2 linked regions of the Mus musculus genome follow. The protein of the gene in region 2 binds, or shares a complex with, the protein of the main gene of each other region. Links are inferred from orthologs where the notes say so. Each region holds a gene or a part of one and is shown on either strand. Other genes may lie near its edges. The genes, in order: Vti1a and Stx12.

Region 1 (9,562 bases), on a different chromosome or scaffold from region 2:
AGGTGCTGGTGTTCCCCGGGCTCATGTCACTTGACAGGCACACTCAGCAATATATGACAAACAGTGCTGCAGGGCCCCTGCATTTGCAATAGTCCTTTGGTCTTTCATAGGTCAGCTGTAGAAGATGCACTGCCAAGGCCCTGTGAAAGGAGGTCCTATAAGCCACTGGGAGACAGAGCTCACTGTTAATGGGAGCACTCTGATTGTATGTATGGCAGCCATTGTCAAAGTCTATGACACTGAGCTCATCAAATGGAAGCTACTTCCTGCTGTAACCCAGACACTCGCACAGATGATGCAGCTGGCAATTACAGTTGTAACATGTCTTCCAACTTCACGCTAAAGGAGCTCCCAGACTACACTTCTGCTACATTCTATAGGAATACAGGTTTTTCTTGAAAAGATTTTAGTAATGACAAGTTATGAATTATTATCTACTTCTTCAGAGGTAAAAGAAACAGAATCATAACTTCCTTTCTTTTTAAATAAAAGTCCTGAAAAATCTCATATTATTATTGATTCTCACCAGTATTTGATATGATAAGAATCCCAGATACAGGTGGTGGTGGCACACGCCTTTAATTCCAGCACTCAGAAGGCAGAGGGAGACAGATCTTTCAGTTCAAGGCCAGCCTGGTCTACAGAGTGAGTACTAGGACAGCCAGGGCTACACAGAGAAACCCTGTCCTGAAAAACAACAGTAACAGCAAAAAGAATCCAAGTTAAAAAAGAAAAGAAAGGATTTCTAGTAAGATGCATAAAACATACATGCTTGCTAGCACGCACATGGCGTTTACACACAGGAAGAAACACCTGGGCCCCCAGTGATACCCACCTGAGAAAAACCAATTACAATGATGGAATTTTGTGAGGCTCAATGAGAAATCCATTCCTCGGCCCCAGTTATCACATGAATGGCTATTTGTTTTGTGGCTATTTTCATTGTTATCTGAATCCACTTTATTTAAAGTCTGTCTAGAGGCCAGGAAACGAACAGGCTGTCCCGAGGTAGCTTTCCATCTATGTCAAGAGAGAAGAAAAATGACTTTCCAGGAATCAGCTATGGCTTCACTCTGATGTCATGTTTTACTATTATAATTCTGAATGGAACAGTTTTCTCCCTTCTTTTCTTCCTTTGACAAGACGGTGTAGCTACATGAAAGAAAGTTTCTGTTTGACTGGACCAGTTGCTAGTTCACTAAACGAGACATGGCAATCCTTTTCTGCATAACATTTTTAGTTTATGATTAAACACACCATATTCTATTTCCCTAATTTATCTTTTTCTGGCTGTTGGTGCTTCTGGAGTCTCTTGGGAATCTGCAAGGAAGAGTCAGAGGTGGAGGGCTGAAGCACTTTCCCTGAGAATGAGTTAATTTCTATGGTGTACATATTCTCTGTACACTGAAGCACCATAAAAGCAAAGAAAGATGTGTTTGTATTTCCTGGTCCCTGGGCTCACACAGACATTAAATATTTACTGAAGACACGAGTAAGCAGGGGAGAGGGGAGAGGAAAGAGAGGTACACAAGGGAGGAAGGAAGCTAACAGAAGACCGGGAGGCATGGGTGGGGTGGGTCAGAGGCTCCGGGTCCTATAAACGCCGCTTACTATTTGGTCGCTCTCATATATGACTAAGTAGACACAGGTACAGACTTTGGTAAAGATGAACATGGGTCCTCCTGACTTCATGACTGATTGATTAGCCATTGCTAAGCAACCTGGCACCGATTATGGATGATGCCCTGTCATCTCTGTTCATTGTACAATTTTAAAAACAAAAATTGAAGCAACCAGGAACTTTTCTTTATTAGAATTCTCTGGTTTGTATTTGTGTTTGTTTCACAGAATTTACCATATTAAAAATTAATGGGTTTATTCATTCATAGGTAAATGCATGATCAAAGACATTCTCTTCCTTCACACATCTGTGAAGATGAACTGTGAGCCCAGGGTTTAATACCAGCCTCCCCCCTCAGTCACAAGCACCTGTTGCTACTCGATGTGGCTGTGATGTGCAGTGTTAGTGTGGACAAGGAGTGTCCAGGGTGGGTTCTGCAATTCCCTCCCTCGGTGCTGGGCAGCGACTGCGATGTGAACCGGGGGATGGGAGGGAGGACAGACATCAATCAGCAAGGGCCTGAGGTAGAAAGACTGTGGTCCGCAAATGACCACTGGGCCCATATCCTGAGAGACTTACTCCCCCCCCCCCACCATTAAATTATATACTTTTATGCTTCATATCTGTGATTTTGCTACTATTATGAATTATAGCATAAATATCTGATATATAGGATATCTGATATGTTACCCTCAAAGGGGTCATGACTGAGAGGTTGAGAAAGGACACATTCCAAAAGGAGGTGACAAAGTGGAGAGCTGCATTTGCTTACAAAGGGAAGCCCAAGTAGCTGGCAGCCCTCAGGAAGCCACCTTGGGGGTGTGATTCCCCTCCAGAAAGCCCAATGGGTGCAGATTGTTGGTGCTCCTACCCGCTCTAAATGACTTGCAAATTTATTCAAACACCATATGAAAGGATGCTCTATCTGTTGAGACAACTGTCTGCACTGTCCTGTACCAAGGGTGAGGTACATCAAGCAGAAACATGGGCAGAAGCACATGGGTTTAGAAAGCCATAAATCCTTATTTGAATCTGCCAACCTGAAAGCCACGAAGAGCCAGAATAAACTATTTTTCCTAAATGCTACATCTGATTAAGCCATACCATGAAGTGACAGCTGAACTTTAACATTAATATGATATTATTTAAATAACCACATGATTTTTTTTTTACACTAAAAATGATGAATGATTTCTGGACAGCTCAATCGACAGAAAGCAGGAGGACTCTTTAATGAGATTTGACAAAATGGAGACATATGCAGAAGGCTCGTTACAGCTCATATCGCAGGGGCCTCCAAGGGAAGCAGGAGGCACAGCTTTCTTTCTTTTTATTGTCTCTAGGCACTGATGCATTCCTTCAGTTGCTAGTGCTCTTCTCTTTGGACTCTTAGTCTTTCTTAGGTCACTTATGCACTGCTCTTAAAGCAGGGCCCTGCAGGTTTTTGTCTGAGTTGGGATGGTGCTTCCAGCGAAAGGAAAGGGTGGGAAGCAGCTCGGTTGGTATCACGCTGGGAACTGCAGGTTCACCACTGATGGTGTCATGGAGAAATCACATCAGCCCCAACAAGTAACAATTCTACACTTATTTGGGTCTTACACCGTGAACCTTTAGCATTGCAAACAGCTTTAGCATGTTGCTATACATGGATGTACAACAAGCAGAGAGGGCTTCAGCTGTGCCATACAGCTGTCTGAAAAGAAGGGTTGGCTATTCCTCCGCTCCCTCACAACACTCCGCGTCCACCTAGCCACTCAGAGTTCCACGCTCGCATGACCATGGTAAACCATCCTTTTACTCTTCAGAGCATTGGTGTAAAGTAAGAGCGGAACAGACTTAGGCTATGACCTATCTTTATTCATTTACCATTTTAAATTATCCGAATATTTTCCATCAACCAAAGCTTAGTTACACAAGCAGTGCTTAAAATATTTGTTGTGGGCCCAATGGATTGAGCTTACTCTGATACCTGCGGCATTCTTATCAATGTTAAGTATCGACCTGAGTCACCACACTGTTTCCCAAGCAGCCTTCTCAGCAATGAAACAAAGAGCAGAACCGGTACCTAGTGTTCTCCGGGTGATGGCAGGCCCGCACTTCCGCCGTCAGAAGTGAGAGGAAAGTCGGCATGCTCTTGCCATGGGCCTTCCTCAGGCTATAAAAAAATGCTTCTTGTCTAACCCTAATTTTTTCCATAGCTTGAGGTAGGCCCCTCAGCTCAAGCTTGTCTCTAATCTGAGTAACCCATTATATGTCTCTGACAAGAAAGGGTTAACATCAGTGCTCTGTTATTTGGAGAGGGTGTTGACCCAGCCAAGGAGGGAGAGGCGGGATCCCAGCAGCTGGCTCAGCCCCAGGGAAGGAAGAAAACACAGTTAAGAAGAGAGGGAAACAGACGATCGCTCCCTACCTGGCTCTTACCTTCGCAGCATCCCCGTCAGAATCCGAGAGCTCTTCCCCAGGTTTGCATCTGCGTCCCGGAGCTGCGTGAGGGCAGCATGGTGGAAGCAGAGGAAAATGGAGTTAGATGATTCTCAGGCATCTGCTGAAGGGTCACAGCTCCACAGGAGAAAGCCAAGCAGTGACACACACACACACACACACACACACACACACACACACACACACACAGACTCTCAGCTCCAGAGACTAAAGAGCTCTAGGAGGGCTTCCAGGAGCTTGACGGTGGATGCTTGAGCCAGATTTAAAAACGAGTGCCTCACACACAGACAGGGCTCACCATACCTGTGGTGATTAATTTTTAATATGAGTATGCACAGTCTTAAAAGTAGAAATGGAAACTGAATGAAGCCGAGGAAGGTGAGGGCCAGTTTCAGAACAAAATCTCTGTTCTTTGAAAGATTGATACACTCCAAACTCTCCCCCAGTGGCTTCCTTTCTGTAGTCACAGAGTTATTTAAATATTTACTTGGGGGCCTTCGGAGATGAGGAGAGAGCCAGCTGCTTTTCCCTTCATCCCAAGCCCTTGCTTTCTCTTCTTCCACATGGCCACCTACCTACCTGACTGTCCTTACACACACATCCTCATGGCTATGCTGTCACTGTCTTGTGTCCGTCCCAACAGCCTCTTATCCATGCCTTCTCATTTATGAACGTGTAAATGGCGGGATGATGTATACTCACTCGGTCACGTGCCCGCTGTATCTTTTCTCTGTCATGACTCAGGTTTTCCAACATCTCTTGGCCGATTTGCTCTATGGAAAAGAAGAGAAAATGTAAAGAATGGCACCTTGGGGTGCATGGAGAGCACTCAATATACCCCCCAAAGTACTAGGACGATCACAGATATAGAACCAAATAAAGGGGTGTGCCTTACATACCAGATATGTTTTAACTAATGTATTTGAAAAATACAGTATCTGATAAATTTCCCATCTTGTGGATGACTGGGTGCGATTTAAAAAAATCCAACAAGCAGACTGTAGCCCATGTGGCATCAATGACTTAGGGGTAATGCGACTTGTCCAAGGCCACTCCAGGAAATTCCTAGCAAGATGGAGGGCCTAGGTGTAATGATTAAGTACTTCATCACGGAGGAGTACAGCCTTGGATTTTACACTCTGAGAGTAACTCGGAGGGGTCCTGTTCTCCCTTACGGCACTGCTTACCAATGTAAGTCGATATCCATTTAGAAAAACTGTGATTTCAATGCATGGGACTCTTAACTTTTCTCACCTCCAGCATTTTCTCCTGGAGGCAAGAGCCCTTTTATGTTCTATTCGCTGCTGTAGATTCTTGAGTCAAATCAGGTGAGGGACAGTTCAACTTCCAAATTCTTAGACCCAAACACCACTTAGCGTTTGTTAAAGCCATGCTGCTGCCTGCAACGGGGATTTCCCCTGTCACCATGTCTCAGATGCTCGGATGGCCCTTGGCAGGCTCTGCTGTGACTACAGATATTTAACAAACACTACGTAAGACCTGATCTTACGTATAGACAGCTTTTTGAATGATTTCCTTCCCCCAGTCTCATTCGCTGTCACCAGGAGGTGCCTATCTTACGGAGAAAGAACTTGGACTTGCCTTCATCAGGATCGGGTGCCAGAACAATGCTCGGATGCACTGCTGCACACGCACCCGTCACCCCGTCATGCCCGAGAACGCCTTCCTAGCTCATGTTCTGCACGTTACTCTATGGTACATTATGAGCACCACAAATCATTATTTCAGGAAAACACTAATACTTCCTATCAAAGCAGACCATATAAGAATACATGATTTCAAATGGAAGAGGTTTCTGATACTGTGTCTAACACCTCAGTCAGTATTTATGGAAGAAATGAAAGAATGAGATTAAAAAAAGATTAAGTCCCAGCAAGGTTTCCAGTTCCTGCTCAGGCTCTTCCGCACAGCCCTGGAGAAGGTGATGCTGGAAAGCAGGTGTAGGAGCCTCGAGCCCACCAGGTTCTCCAGGGGAAAACTCCACTCTGAACTGATCTATAGTCCTCTACTCAAGCAACGAGTGGACTAGGAGGTCAAGAGTCAGGGATGTTCCTGGAGTCATAAGCCACACCCACAAACTCCTTGCTTCCTGGGTGGGATGTGATTTCTTAGCTGCTAGCTTATATTTTAATACATCAGTAGAGAAAATTCCAGGCAGGTAGATTAGAAATGATAACTCTTATGGACAAAACAGACACAAAGAGAGCAAAACTTGTGTGTCAAACAAAGCAAACCAGAGGAGATTGCTTTTAACACAGTCATTTGCTTCCAGCACAGCTGTCTATCTGTAACCTGTCCCATGAATCTGAAGGCACCCGGCTTGCATGTGGTGCACAGACTTGCATACGGACAGAATAGTTGCACACATAAAATAAAGCTAATAAATATTATTTGAAAGAAAGAATTCAAGTGCACAGACCTGAAACCATGGCAACTGTGACATGCCACGTCTACACTCCTTAGTTCCTTAAATTGTCTTGAGGTCTTTGGTATGAACAGCTGCAATGCACTTACGGTGCAGTTTAAGACATGTACACTTCATAAATAGCATCGTTCTGACCATTAAACATCTTGAGGTTAGGAAACAATGGGAAGCACACAATAAAACCGATTTCGGCATGCTGCAGCTCTGCATGTCAGCACAACGTGATGAATGAATTCCTGGAAGGAAGACTTCCTTCCTGTCCTTCCATCCTCTCCACAGAGGTCCTGGGACTCATCCCGGGAATACAGCTCTCAGACATGTAAAATGAATTGTCTTTACAATTACTCAGAATCAATCATGGAGTCAGGCCACGGCCCTTGCGAGGGGCCTTTGGCAGCACTGCGTCTCCTCTTCATCCCTTTGCAGAGTATACAATAGGCATTCAATGCTTTCCTGTCTCTGGTCGGAACTAAGAAGGAAATAGGTAACCACAAATCCAGCAAGACGCTTCCTGCAGGACCAGCCTGGCATCTCCTTGTAGATAAGATCTGGACGGAGCAGTGCCTATCTCAGAGAGCATCATGTCTCTTCCTTCATGAAGTGATAAAAACATTTGACAGGCTGTGTTCATCCATCATGAGGCAAACACAAGTGAGCCCATGGAAGAAACTAGATCTGAACTTCAGAAAGGGATGAATCAGAATATTCTCCAGGAACAGTTAGGCGTGACTCAAGTTAACATCACGCTACAAATGTAGCTGAAGAAAACGGTGCCTCGGATCTAATTCAGCACAGTATGTTCCATCTGATAAGTTCAATATATATATATATTTTTCAATTTGAGCCATTATGCTATGAGCCGTACATTCTCCAGAAGGTACTGATTATTCCCAAGCACAACTGTACTTAACTTTATTTTTACAACCTTCGTTAAGGATGTGGTTTCCAGAAAATTATTTTTAAAAGTGAAGGAAGCCAGTTAAAGTCTTCTTTCAATTGCCCAGAGGAGACAAGGTTATTTCCTGACACTTGAAAACTCCACTAGCAATCCAGGAGCAGTGAGAGGCATCCACAATGCCCCAGCTGTTACTTACATCTGTGGGCACGTATGTACAGAAACGCGCAGCAGAGCTGTCTCCAGCTATGGTGAAACGCGTGCTTCACGGACTGGAGAGAGAGACTGCACAGTCGGTGACTGCATGGTATTTATACCAACAATCTCAATTCGGGACAGGTGACTGGGAAACTTCTGGCTACTGAGTCTAACATGGGGGAGACAGCATGCTGTTTTGGAAAGCTGCAGTTAGAGGGGTGAACACAGCCTTCCAGATCTGTCTCTCTGTCATTTGGAATGTGTCCTTGGACAATGGGTCTGGTCCTGTGCCCCAGACTTAAGGGTTACACTCAGTACTGAAGACTCTTTAGAGTTCCTGACTCAGGGAAGGTGGTTTACATAAAGACAGGGTTTGTTTGTTTGTTTGTTTGTTTTGGTTTTCTTTTTCTTTTTTTCTTTTTAACCATCTCTCGTCATTTGAGACTTAAGACATGAGGGGCTTTGGCTTCTACTGAGATGGAGGAAGTGCTCGAATTCAGGACAACCTCCAGGGAAAGAAGAAAAACCAGACACAAGAATTGCTAACCTTCTGGAAGGAAGACAAGTACAGGAGATGCAGTAAAGCTTTGATGAGTTCTAGAGATCTAAGCCTTTCTTTCGTACAGGAGAGTGTGAGTAACTCCTCGCTAGGGTAAATTGCTTACTCTGAGTACTGCTGCTATGGACAGGAGGGAAACCAGGCAGATTGCATGACCACACAGACTTTCAGAGCACAGCACATGGCATAGCTGAGCACTACACAGCAGTTTAAGCTGCTTGATCTGATAATTCTCCCTCAATACTTATATGCACCAAGAAAGAAACAATGAAGGAGGCCAGACTGAAAGAGAATTCCCACATTTCCTTATATTGCTTGTATTCAACACACTATTAGAGACAAGCCTGTCTTGGTGTGGCCACAACACACCTGAAACTACAGCTTAACCCATGCTCAGCCCCTCAGAGCTGTGATTACAGGTGCACACCACCATGCCTGGAGAGCCATCTTGTCTCTTAAAGCTGCATCGGCAGCACAGGTCAGGAATCTCGCAGCCACAGATAAAGCCTGCAGCTCAGCAGCCCCTCAGCTTGGTTTCTGGAAGACTCTAACTGAGCCATGGTCCAGGCACAGCACAGCATGATGCTGAAGAGGCAAGCACACTCAGCAATTTCCACACCAGAACCCATACAGCTTCATGTACAAGACATGCAAAAGGCAGGAAAGAGAGAAGAGTTCAGAGAAAATGTCACGGATACAAGCGCTCCAACAGACCTTAGTCAGCTGACAGGGTTACCAGACAGAGTTTTGGAGGTGAATGGAGAAGAAATGGGTCTTTAGGAGGTAAGAGGAAACTCTAAGGGGCACAATGGAATTCCAGCACGTGAAGAAACAGCGACTGAGCTTATTCGAGTAGAGTGCAAACGTGAGATGCTTGAGTAGGAAGGAAGGACCTTAACTGTAGGTTACCAGAGTGATCCAAACTGGGTGAGTGAAGGTAACAAAAACACACAGCACAGCATCCATACTGTCAGATGTTAGCAGAGGCCTCTATGGACATCGTTAGATGGCTCTTCCAAAACAGAGAGTAGAGAAAATGAAAGAAATAATAGCCCAAACTTCTCAACTTGTATTTTTAAAAATCAACTATAGATCAAAGAAGTTGAACTAATTAGAGGAAGGTAAATTTATAGAAACTATAACCAGTTGTTATAGAAACAGTTTAGTTTCTCAAAACTAAAGGGAAATGAAGATATCTAGAGGGAACGCAAACGCACGCGAGTACGAACACGCGCACGGGCGGGCACGAACTCCCTGGAGGCCACTCAGAAGGATGAAGGTTAAAGTTTTGTCATAAAAAAAATGAAGAAAATAGAATAATATTCCAAAGTGCTGAAACAGGAAAAAACCCAAAACACCCTAGTAAAAATGTCCTTCAAATGTAAAGTGAGGCATTTGCGT
Region 2 (10,118 bases):
TATAAATTGAACAAGTTATTTCCATTTCCTGATGGGCTAGACTCAAACTCCTGATCCTCTTGCCTCAGTCTCTTGAAGGCTGGGATTTAACTTTTGAAAATGGGTTTGTCAGGAGTGATATAGTACATATCTTCAGCACTTGAGAGTCAGAGACAAGAAGGTCAGGAGTTAAAGGTTACATGAGACCTTTTATTACACACACACACACACACACACACACACACCCCAAAAATTCAGTCACTAAACAGGATAGTAAATCTGTATACTAACAACCAAAGGCGTAATCTCCCACTTTGCACAAGAGTGACAGCACATGTGGCTGTTAAGAACACGGGTTCTGAATTGAGACTGTGTTCTTGTTTTTAAGACAGGTTCTCTCTCCATATGTAGCCCTGCATAGCCTGGAACTCTCTATGTAGGCTAGAGTATCCCAGAACTTGCCGTTTTGCCCAGGCTGCCCTTGAACTCCATGTGATTCCCCTGACTCTGCCTCTCAAGGGACAGAATCACGGGTGTGGAGCACATGATCAGCAGGCCTGCCTATGCCTGACTGTTGCTTCCAGCACTTCCCAGCGGAGTGATCTAAAGTAAATGATGACCGTCTTCTGTCCTGGTTCCACACCTAAGGAATGACAGTAACAAGGGAAGCTTCGGTTGGTTGATGTGAGAATGAAATGAGATGATTTGGGCTAAGTTTAGAAAGCCGTCTGCCACATAAAAGCACTCAACTAAGGACAGCTATTATTATCAAACTCAAGACCAAGAAGAATGTACTTAGCAATGATAAAATCAATTAAGTACATACTGAATGCCAAAGCATCCACTGCTGTGCCAGGCACTGTCTAAAGAGAAATGTATAATGCATGGTCCTTCATCCCACCAAACCAGTACTGCTCTAGGGACAAGGTCAAAAAGCTTGTCTTAATTAAGGGATATAGAATATAAGTAGATATTAAACTGTGAGAAAAAAACTGGTTATGTTTAAGAAAAAAGAACCAAATGACAGATAACATGTTTTATGTATTCACTCAATAGGTAGTAGGCACTGTCTTTTTAAGACAGGGTCTCCCATAGCCAAGCTGGTCTCAAACTTGCTATGTAGCTGAGGCTGGCCTTGAATTCCAACCTCCTGCCTGCACTTTCCAAAGGTGAGGATTACAGGAACCCATCTTGAAGCGCACACTCTTTTAACACTTCACATAAGTTATCTCAGTTAGTTCTCAGAACCCTATGAAATAATTATGACCATAGACCAGGAAACAGCAGGAGGCGTAAAGCAAAATTCACCAAAACATCACAAAACTAGCAGGAAGCTGAGGGAAAACCCAAACTTAGTTTACAAACAGTTAAAAACTCAAAGGTTTCTTAGTTTTTCAGTAAATAATGCAGAGCCTGGTGTAGTGCCACACCCCTTTAGTCCCACCACTCTGGAGGCCAAGGCAGGTGAATCTCTGTGAGTTCCAGACCAGCCTGGTCTCATAGTCAGGTTCAAGTCAGCCAGAACTACACAGCGAGATCCTGTCTCAAAAACAAAAAAGCACTTAAGAGGCAGAGTCTGAAGCTAGCCTGGTCTACAGAGCAAGTTCCAGGACAGCCAGGGCTACAGAGACACCCTATCTCAAAATAAAATAAAATAAAATAAAATAAACCAAGCCAAACAAATAAAATGACAGAGACCTCATTCACTCAAATTAACTGGCTACAATTAGTAAGCTTCCATGTGCCCTGACCCCTGGCTACCTCTCTGATGTCTTTCCCCATTTGCTCCCTACCTTTAACGCAGCCACACCTTCCTCCTTGCTATTCTTTGTCACATGAAAGTCCTTGCATTTGCCCTCAGCACACACTGCCTTTCTCCACTACTCACCATGCTCCCTCCATTCTGAAATCTGCTCATTCCAACATCATCCTACCCAGGCAGTGGTGGTGCAGGCTTGAATCCCAGCATTCAGGAGGCAGAGGCAGGTGGATCTTTGAGTTCGAGGACAGCCTGGTCTATAGAGCAAGTTCCAGGACAGCCAGGACTACAGAGAACCCTGTCTTGGAAAAAATAAATCATCTCCCCAGAGAGGCCTTCCTCACCTGAGGATAATAATTCGTCCCTTCTCGCTTCCCTCCATGGACTTAGCCTGTTCCCTTTCCTTCGTACCACCTGCTATTACTTGATATTATTGGGAAATACATGCAAAGATCCACACAATGCCAGGCAGCAGTGTGTTCTCTGCTCATCACCAGTGAACATCAGTGCTCAAAGAATGCTTGTCGCACGCTGAACGGAAGAACTCATCATATGCTTGGGACTAAGATAAATGACAGAAAAATAAGGATGAATGAATCGTATTTCCTACCTCAAGCAAGCTAACAATCTAACAGGGAAGATGTTCATCTTATCGCGAGAAAAAAACCCACACACTCAGCTAGGCAACCCTTTAGCCTTTCTCAGTCTGTTTCCTAGCTCATAGACTGGGAATGTTTGTAATTACTCCACAGGATTGTTACAGATTAGAATATTACATGTAAAGTACTTTTCATACGGCCTGGCACACGATGTACTTAAACAGTAGCTAGTAACATTATTAACTATTGACTCTAAGGAACCCCTTGACCCCAATGCCTAATCAACGGCTAAATCAGTAGCTATCACCAAAGAAACTGCTCCTAGACCACACCGACACCTTTTTTGTTGTTGTTTTGCTTTAAGACTCACAGCTCAGGCTGGCTTTGAACCTGGAGACTGTCTTGCCTTGGCCTCCTGAGAGCTAGGGTTACAGACCTGACTCATCACACCCAGGCTCTGGTTTTAAACTCCTTCTCTGTTCCTCCTTCCCTTTCTCCCTTTTTCCCTTTGAAAACAGACTCACAATGTGGCCCTGGATCACCTTGAACACACTAGGCAGTCTAGATTTGCTTCTAAATCATGATAATCCTCCTGCCTCAGCCTCTCAAATGCTATCGTGTACGACTATGGCCAGTTTCAACTCTAATTTTGATTTAAGTAAACACAGATTTGCAGTTAAAAGAATCTGTATCAGTTCCTATGCTTACTATACAACTTAATACTCAAATATGAAATATTCCACATACAGTCATTTAAATTAGGTTAGTCTCAATGAGAAAAAAAAAAAAAACCCACAAATTCTCTTTCTTTCTTTCCTCTCTTTCTTTTCTTCTTTCTGGTGGTTCAAAACAAGGTTTCTCTGTGTAGCCCCTGGCTGTCCTGAAACTCTGTAAACTGGCTAGCCTCTCAAACTCTGAGATCTACCTGCCTCTGCCTCTCAAGTACTGGAATTGAAGGCATGACCCCGCCCCCAACACCTGGCACAAAATTTTCTTTATTATTTTTGTGTGTATGATATGTGGAACATACATAGAACTAATGTAAACAGACACATTGTGTGTGCCAGGGAACGAGTGTGGCTGAGTGTGGAGGTCAGAGTACAGCTCTGTGGAGTTAATTTGCTCCTTCCACGTTCATCTGGGTTCTGGGGCTCAAATCAGATGGTCAGGCCTGCACAGCAAGCACTTTACCTGAACCATCTTGCCAGCCCCTTGAAAAGAATTTTCTGATTTATCCTGTATTATAGCTCCTTAACAAAAGGAAACTGGGACACAAAGTACCATACTGTCTAGTCATCAATTATTATTGTGTTTTTCATATCTGGGTTAACAAGCTGAGTATTCGTACTACCTCCATACACCCAGGCCTAACCCTTCCTGCCTGAAACTTTCTACCTCTCAAATCCTACAGTATACATTTAGATATAAAAGCAAAGTGACAAGCTGGGTGTGGTGGCGTACATTGTTAATCCCAGCACTTGGGAGGCAGAGGCAGGTGGATCTCTAATTTTGAAGCCAGCCTGGTACACAGAGTGAGTTCCAGGATAGTCAGAGCTACAAAAAAACTGTCTCAAAAAGAAAATAAAAGCACAGTGGTAGCTTATGCTTTAAAGCTTAGGACATAACTGCAATTCAGAACTGACTCTACTTATTAACAGTATAGCTAAGCTCACAAAAAAAAAAAAAAAAAAAAAAAACAGAATAATAAACAACACAGATGGTTGTCACCATTTTTAAAGTAAAATTGCTTCTGTTGTTCTGTTTACAGGGCTCTGGGATGATTCTGAAACTCAAAAACAGCCTGTACTTGACTCTAGCTACAGAAGGGAGTTTTAAGGTAAGCAGTTACAAACTGACTTGGCCCAACCCTGCCATCTCTTACTTGGTGTGTAATTGTGGCCAAGAGTAGCTCTCAACGGAGGCAGAAGAGGACATCTTCATGCTTGAAATGGGAAAAACGTTCGCTACAAAGACAACCTAACCTAAAATGTTCCCGGTGCATTCTGTGCCATAAAGCAGCAGTCCTCCCGTCCCTTAAATGCCAGGCACTGACTGACGTCCAGGTTAATTACAGGAAACACAGTGTATTAAGTCACTCGAACGCACGCATTCTCCACTTCCCTTAATTGAAAGTTGCTGATGTCTGAGGACCCAACCGCTGAGCTGAATGTGAACCTAAAGTCGCAACCAAGTAAGCACCCCCTGATCGGAACTGAGGAAAACAAGGTGGGTGGGGAGAGGGGGACGGCGACGACAGGAAAAACTCGGCTGACCACTGCGCCAAGTCAAGACTGCTGCTCACAGTCCTGGAGATGACACACACTCCCTCCCACCATCGGGGCTGTCGGCTCTGTTGACCCCCAACACCGTGAACTCTAACCGCCTAAGACAGGGGTGTGGACCTAAAGGGCCCGAGCCTGGCCGACCCAGGGAAAGGCAGCTCGCCGCGCCCAGAGTGGAGGCTCGCGACGGCCTCAAGGTGTGGCCTGAGCTGCGACCCAGACCGGGCTCCCCGACTTGGCAGCTTCACCACCGTCTGTCCCTCAGGCCGCCCCCAGCTCCCGGCTGGGTCCCCTCGCTCACTGGCTTGGCTGATCCGCTGGATGTTGCCACTGCATGTCTGGATGATGCTGTTGAAGTCCCGGGGCTGAGGCCCCGACGGCCCGGGGTTCCGATACATGTCTAAGGGACCGTAGGACATGACAGTGAGCAGAGACCGGGTCGCGCTTCGCGGCGCTCCTACCGGAAGCTGCCACTGACCGGGCCCAGCAGCTGAGAGGAAAACCGGGAAGAGAAAGGGCGGGGAAGGGACCGCGACTGCGTGCGCACTGACCCCCCGCCCATCGCGGTGCGCATGCGCGCGCTCCGCCCCATCCTGCAGTGCGCGTGTGCGGCTGGAATTGGCGGTGGGTCGTCTCTTGAGAGTTTTCGAACTGCTGGCGGTGAGCGTTCTCGCAAGACCCGACTCCTCCAGCTGTGAAGCCAGTACAGGACCGGACTTCTTCAGCCTGTCGTCTACAGACGGCGCGCCCCGCATTCCACGACCTTCCGGCCGCCAACACGCTCATCCGCATCCTGCTGCTCCCGCATCCTGCCGCTCCCGCATCCTGCTGCTCCGCGCGGCACTGTTGTTCAGGCACCCAGCAAGTTCTTGCTTTTCCAACCCATGTCAAAATCGAGGTGAATGCATGAGCATGGAATGGGACCAGTACACGTGCAGTTGTACCCGACAGGATTCGATGGTGAAAACTGTTCAACACCTAAATTTCTAGCAAGAATAAAGTTACTACTGAAACCATCCGCCAATACGGTGTGCCCCGTGCTTACCCACTTCAAGGGATTCTGGGACATTGTTGATTAACATTTCCTTCCTTTGAGGTCAGGCTGGTATACAGGGTGAGTTCCAGGACAGCCAAGGTTACATAGAGAAACCCTGTCTCGGAAAACCCACTCACACTCCAAACAAATAAAAACCATTCCCTTCCTGCGGAATTCAGTCATGAGATATGTTGCCAGCCAGATGGCATTTGATTGACAGCCCACCAACTTACAATGTGCACCACACCTACGAAAACTGGGCACCCTTCTCCAACCTCTCCTACTACATCAGAGCCTCTCCTCCTGTAACAGATGACTGCCTGACTCCCATCCTGTGAAAGGGAAGAAGAGGGTTTCTGATTCAAAAGATTATGGGGAAAATTCTAAGAAAAAAATTCATCCTTGACCCCCAGGGCTCGAATATGATATTCACATTCTTCGGCCAGCAATTCACCCACCAGTATCTCAAGACAGACCAGAAACAAGGACATATATTCACTAGAGGGCTGGGCCATGGAGTGGACATATAAGCCATGTTTATGGTAAAACTCCAGATAGACAGCATAAACTGCTCCTTTGCTTTCTCTTTTAATTATTTATTTTTATGCTCATTGGTCTTTTGCCTGTACCTGTGAGGGTGACAGAGCCCCTGGACCTGGAGTTACAGAGAGCTGTGAGCTGCCATGTGAATGCTGGGAATTGAACCTGTGTCCTCTGGAAGAGCAGCCAGTGTTCTTAACTGCAGAGTCATTTCTCCAGCCCCAAACTATGCCTTTTCAAGGATGAAAAACTCAAGTACCAGGTAATTGATGAAGAGGTATATTCTCCCATCAGAGAGATCAGGGACACTCAGGTGGAAGCAGACTGCCACTGCAAACCCCCAAATACCTGCTTTAGGGCAGATCTTGGGTTTGGCCACTGGTCATATGGTATAAGCTACACCATGAACCAGCACCACAAACCATTCTCACCGAAGCCTTACCAATCATTTGAAGAACTCAGGAGAAAGAGGCTGCTGAGTTGGAAGTTCTCTGTGGTAAAATTGATGCTGTTGGTGCTGGTTAAGAGCACTGACTGCTCTTCGATACGTTCTGAGTTCAATTCCCAGCAACCACATGGTGGCTCACAACCATCTATAATGAGAGCTGATGCTCTCTTCTGGTGTGTCTGAAGATAGCTACAGTGTACTCATATATACATTAAATAAATAAAATTTAAAAATTAAAAAAAAAAATCGATGCTGTCCTCCCCTGCTGATAGAAAAGCCTCTTCCAGGTGCTGTCTTTGGGGAAACCCTAGGGGAAATTGGGGCACCATTCTCCTTGGAAGGGCCTACATCAAACCCTATCTGTTCTCACTACTGGAATACTGGAAGCCAAGCTCTTTGGGGGAAGTGGGTGTTAAGATCATCAACACTGCCTCAATTTAGTGTCTTGTTTTATTTGGGGGGGTGTTCTAGACAGGGTTTCTCTGTATAGCCCTGGCTGTCCTGGAACTCACTTTGTAGACCAGGCTGGCCTCGAACTCAGAAATCCGCCTGCCTCTGCCTCCCAAGTGCTGGGATTAAAGGCATGCGCCACCACTGCCCGGCTTCAACTTAGAGTTTTAACGTTAGTAACATGAAGGGCTGTCCCTTCATTCAGTGCTCAGGGCTTCTCCAAACAAGCACATTACAAGTGCTTTAATTCCAGACAAATAGTGACTTAGATATCAGATCTCTCCAGGTTTGTGACATGCTAGACAGGACAATGAAATGAAATATTTGGGGATCCCATTGGATAAGTTTTCCTAGCCATGTATCTCCCCAAAGTCCATGACATCGTGCAAGAAATTTTGATTTGCATAAAAATGTACCAGACCACCCCAACCCTTGCTTCCTATTCTGCTCTATTTTCAGAACCCAGGCTCAAATATAGGAAAATTAAGTAGCCTTGACATTCAGGTCTGTAGCCAATCAGTGATTTTAAGGGTTTCAAAGTACTTTTATTTCTCCCTCCACTCCTAACTAAGCAATAAAGTAATATCGTATTTGGGGGGCACATACTGTGTGTGAATCCTTAGGTCACTGATTCATAAACACTTCACAGTAAGGAAGCATCCCCATTTTTATCTTTAAACATTTTTGGTCTGGTTTACTTTTTTATTTGTTTTTCCAAACAGGGTTTCTCTGTGTAACCCTGGCTGTCCTGGAACTTACTCTGTAGACCAAGCTGGCCTCGAACTCAAAGATCTACCTACCTCTTTGCTCTGCCTCCCAAGTGCCAGGATTAAAAGTAATGGCATTTTGGCTGGACAGTGGTGGCGCACAACTTTAATCCCAGCACTTGAAAGACAGAGACAGGCAGAGCTCTGTGATTCAAGACTACATAGCAAGTTCTGGGCCAGCCAGGAATACACAGTGAGACCCTGTCTCAAACCAAAACAAAGAGCCAGGAATAGTAGTACAAGTCTTTAATCCCAGCACTCAGGAGACAGAGGCAGGCAGATCTCAGAGTTTGAGGCCAGTCTGGTCTTCAGAGTGAGTTCCAGAACAGCCAGGGCCACACAAAGAAACTATGACTTGAAAACCCCAAAACCAGGCTGGAGAGAAATGGCTCAGGGGTTAAGAGCACTGACTGCTTTTCCAGAGGTCCTGAGTTCAATTCCCAGCAACCACATGGTGGCTCTTTCATGGGATCCAATGCCCTCTGCTGGTGTGCCTGAAACAGCTACAGTGTACTCATATACATTAAATAAGTAAATAAATAAAGTGTTGGGCTGGAGAGATAGCTCAGTGGTTAAGAGCACGGACTGCTCTTCCAAAGGTCCTGAGTTCAAATTCCAGCAACCACATGGTGGCTCACAACTATCTGTAATGAGATCTGATGCCCTCTTCTGGTGTGTCTGAAGTCAGCTACAGTGTACTTACATATAATAAATAAATAAATCTTTAAAAATAAATAAAGTATTGGTTCAAAACCAACTCTAAGATCTGATGCCCTCTTCTGGCCTCTTCAGGCATCAGGCAGGCACACACATGGTGCACATGTAGGCAAAAACATTCATATACATAAAATGAATAAATTTTTAAAAAGCTGGACATCATTGCACAGGCCTGCAAACAGACATTAGGGAACAGATAGAGTGGGTCCCCAGAGTTCATTACTCAGTCAGCTTAGCCAAAGATCAGTGAGAGAGCCTGTCTCAAGGCATTAATGCAAAGAGCAAGAGAAGAAGAAATTCTATATCTTCTGAGTGTGCACACGCAGGCTCACGCACCTGCGAATATATGTGCATGCACCATTCACACACACAACAACACATACACAAAGAAACTAATGCCTCCTTATGATTCATCACTTTATGTCAAACCCTAGGTTCCATTGCACAGCTTTAACAGATTCGACTCCTCACATGAGGCCCTGAAATGTATCAGTTTGAATGTAGTCATAAACTCTGAGTCACTAATAATACCCTGATGTCACATTAAGGACAGAAATCAAACACTTCCCCTGTGTGTCCTTTAACTGAGAGTGAGCATCTTTTGGCTGAAGCCTCTCCTGCACTCTCCCTGTGCCTTCCATTGTCTGTCTCAAAGGGCTGCTGCCCCGTATCTCCCAAACAGCCCAGAAAGCATGGGAGAAGGAATGAAAGACACGGGATACTTTGTTCAAATGCCACTGCCATCATTTATAGTAGATTCTCACTTTTATGGTAGATTCTCATTTACTTTTTTTTTGTTTTTTGTTTTTGTTTTTGTTTTTTTGGTTTTTCGAGACAGGGTTTCTCTGTATAGCCCTGGCTGTCCTGGAACTCACTCAGTAGACCAGGCTGGCCTTGAATTTAGAAATCCGCCTGCCTCTGCCTCCCAAGTGCTGGGATTAAAGGCGTGTGCCACCACCGCCCAGCTTATTTATTTATTTTATGTATATGAATACACCATAGCTCTCTTTAGACACACCAGAAGAGGGCATCAGATCCCATTACAGATGGTTGTGAGCCACCATGTGGTTGTTGGGAATTGAACTCAGGTCCTCTGGAAGAGCAGTCAGTGCTCTTAACAGTTGAGCCATCTCTCCAGTCCGATTCTCACTTTCTAAAGCTGCGTTCTGCTATTTTCTGTTTCCAGCTAATGACTGTCACAATGCACAAGCATTACTCTATGTCAACAGCACGGAGAGCACATAACTTAAGACTGCAGCTACGAATTAACTTAGGCTATAAAAGTGGATTATGTGGAAAATCCAGGGCAAATAAAACAGGTTGTTTTTTTGTATTTTGTAATTTGTATTTTGTTCTCTTAAGGGTAGGCTCCACAAATAGGCTGATTATACAGTAGGATAGCACTTTTAAGACTTTTAAGTCTTTTTTAATTTTTTTTTTTTTTGTAGTTGTTATGGTTTTTCAATACAGAGTCTCACTATATAGCCCTGGCTGGCCTGGAACTCACAGAGCTCAAGCTGCCTTTGCCTCCCAAGTGCTGG

The links.
Region 1: the proteins of Stx12 (region 2) and Vti1a are in contact, whole or in part, in a crystal structure (PDB 2NPS), measured with the Rattus norvegicus proteins. The link is inferred for Mus musculus from reciprocal best matches to the Homo sapiens genes STX12 and VTI1A. Residues at the interface, in NP_075228.2 of Rattus norvegicus: Glu185, Ile188, Gln189, Leu191, Glu192, Ile195, Leu196, Val198, Asn199, Phe202, Lys203, Leu205, Ala206, Ile209, His210, Gly213, Ile216, Asp217, Glu220, Val223, Glu224, Ser226, Glu227, Val230, Glu231, Ala233, Ser234, Asp235, Leu237, Gln238; in XP_038945999.1 of Rattus norvegicus: Arg131, Arg134, Ser135, Arg138, Leu139, Ala141, Gly142, Ile145, Ala146, Glu148, Thr149, Ile152, Gly153, Met156, Asn159, Leu160, Asp163, Arg166, Arg169, Ala170, Arg173, Leu174, Glu176, Thr177, Asn180, Leu181, Lys183, Ser184, Ile187, Leu188.

The regions. Positions count from the first base shown.
Region 1 is NC_000085.6:55,493,785-55,503,346, reverse strand, and holds part of Vti1a (vesicle transport through interaction with t-SNAREs homolog 1A), read right to left. Parts: intron 4,837-9,562; coding exon 4,766-4,836; intron 4,105-4,765; coding exon 4,043-4,104; coding exon of another isoform or gene 4,039-4,042; exon of another isoform or gene 4,032-4,038; intron 1,021-4,031; coding exon of another isoform or gene 723-1,020; exon of another isoform or gene 677-722; intron 1-676. UniProt on the Homo sapiens protein: V-SNARE that mediates vesicle transport pathways through interactions with t-SNAREs on the target membrane. These interactions are proposed to mediate aspects of the specificity of vesicle trafficking and to promote fusion of the lipid bilayers.
Region 2 is NC_000070.6:132,879,328-132,889,445, forward strand, and holds the start of Stx12 (syntaxin-12), read right to left. Parts: upstream 5,132-10,118; 5' UTR 5,039-5,131; coding exon 4,921-5,038; intron 1-4,920. UniProt on the Homo sapiens protein: SNARE promoting fusion of transport vesicles with target membranes. Together with SNARE STX6, promotes movement of vesicles from endosomes to the cell membrane, and may therefore function in the endocytic recycling pathway.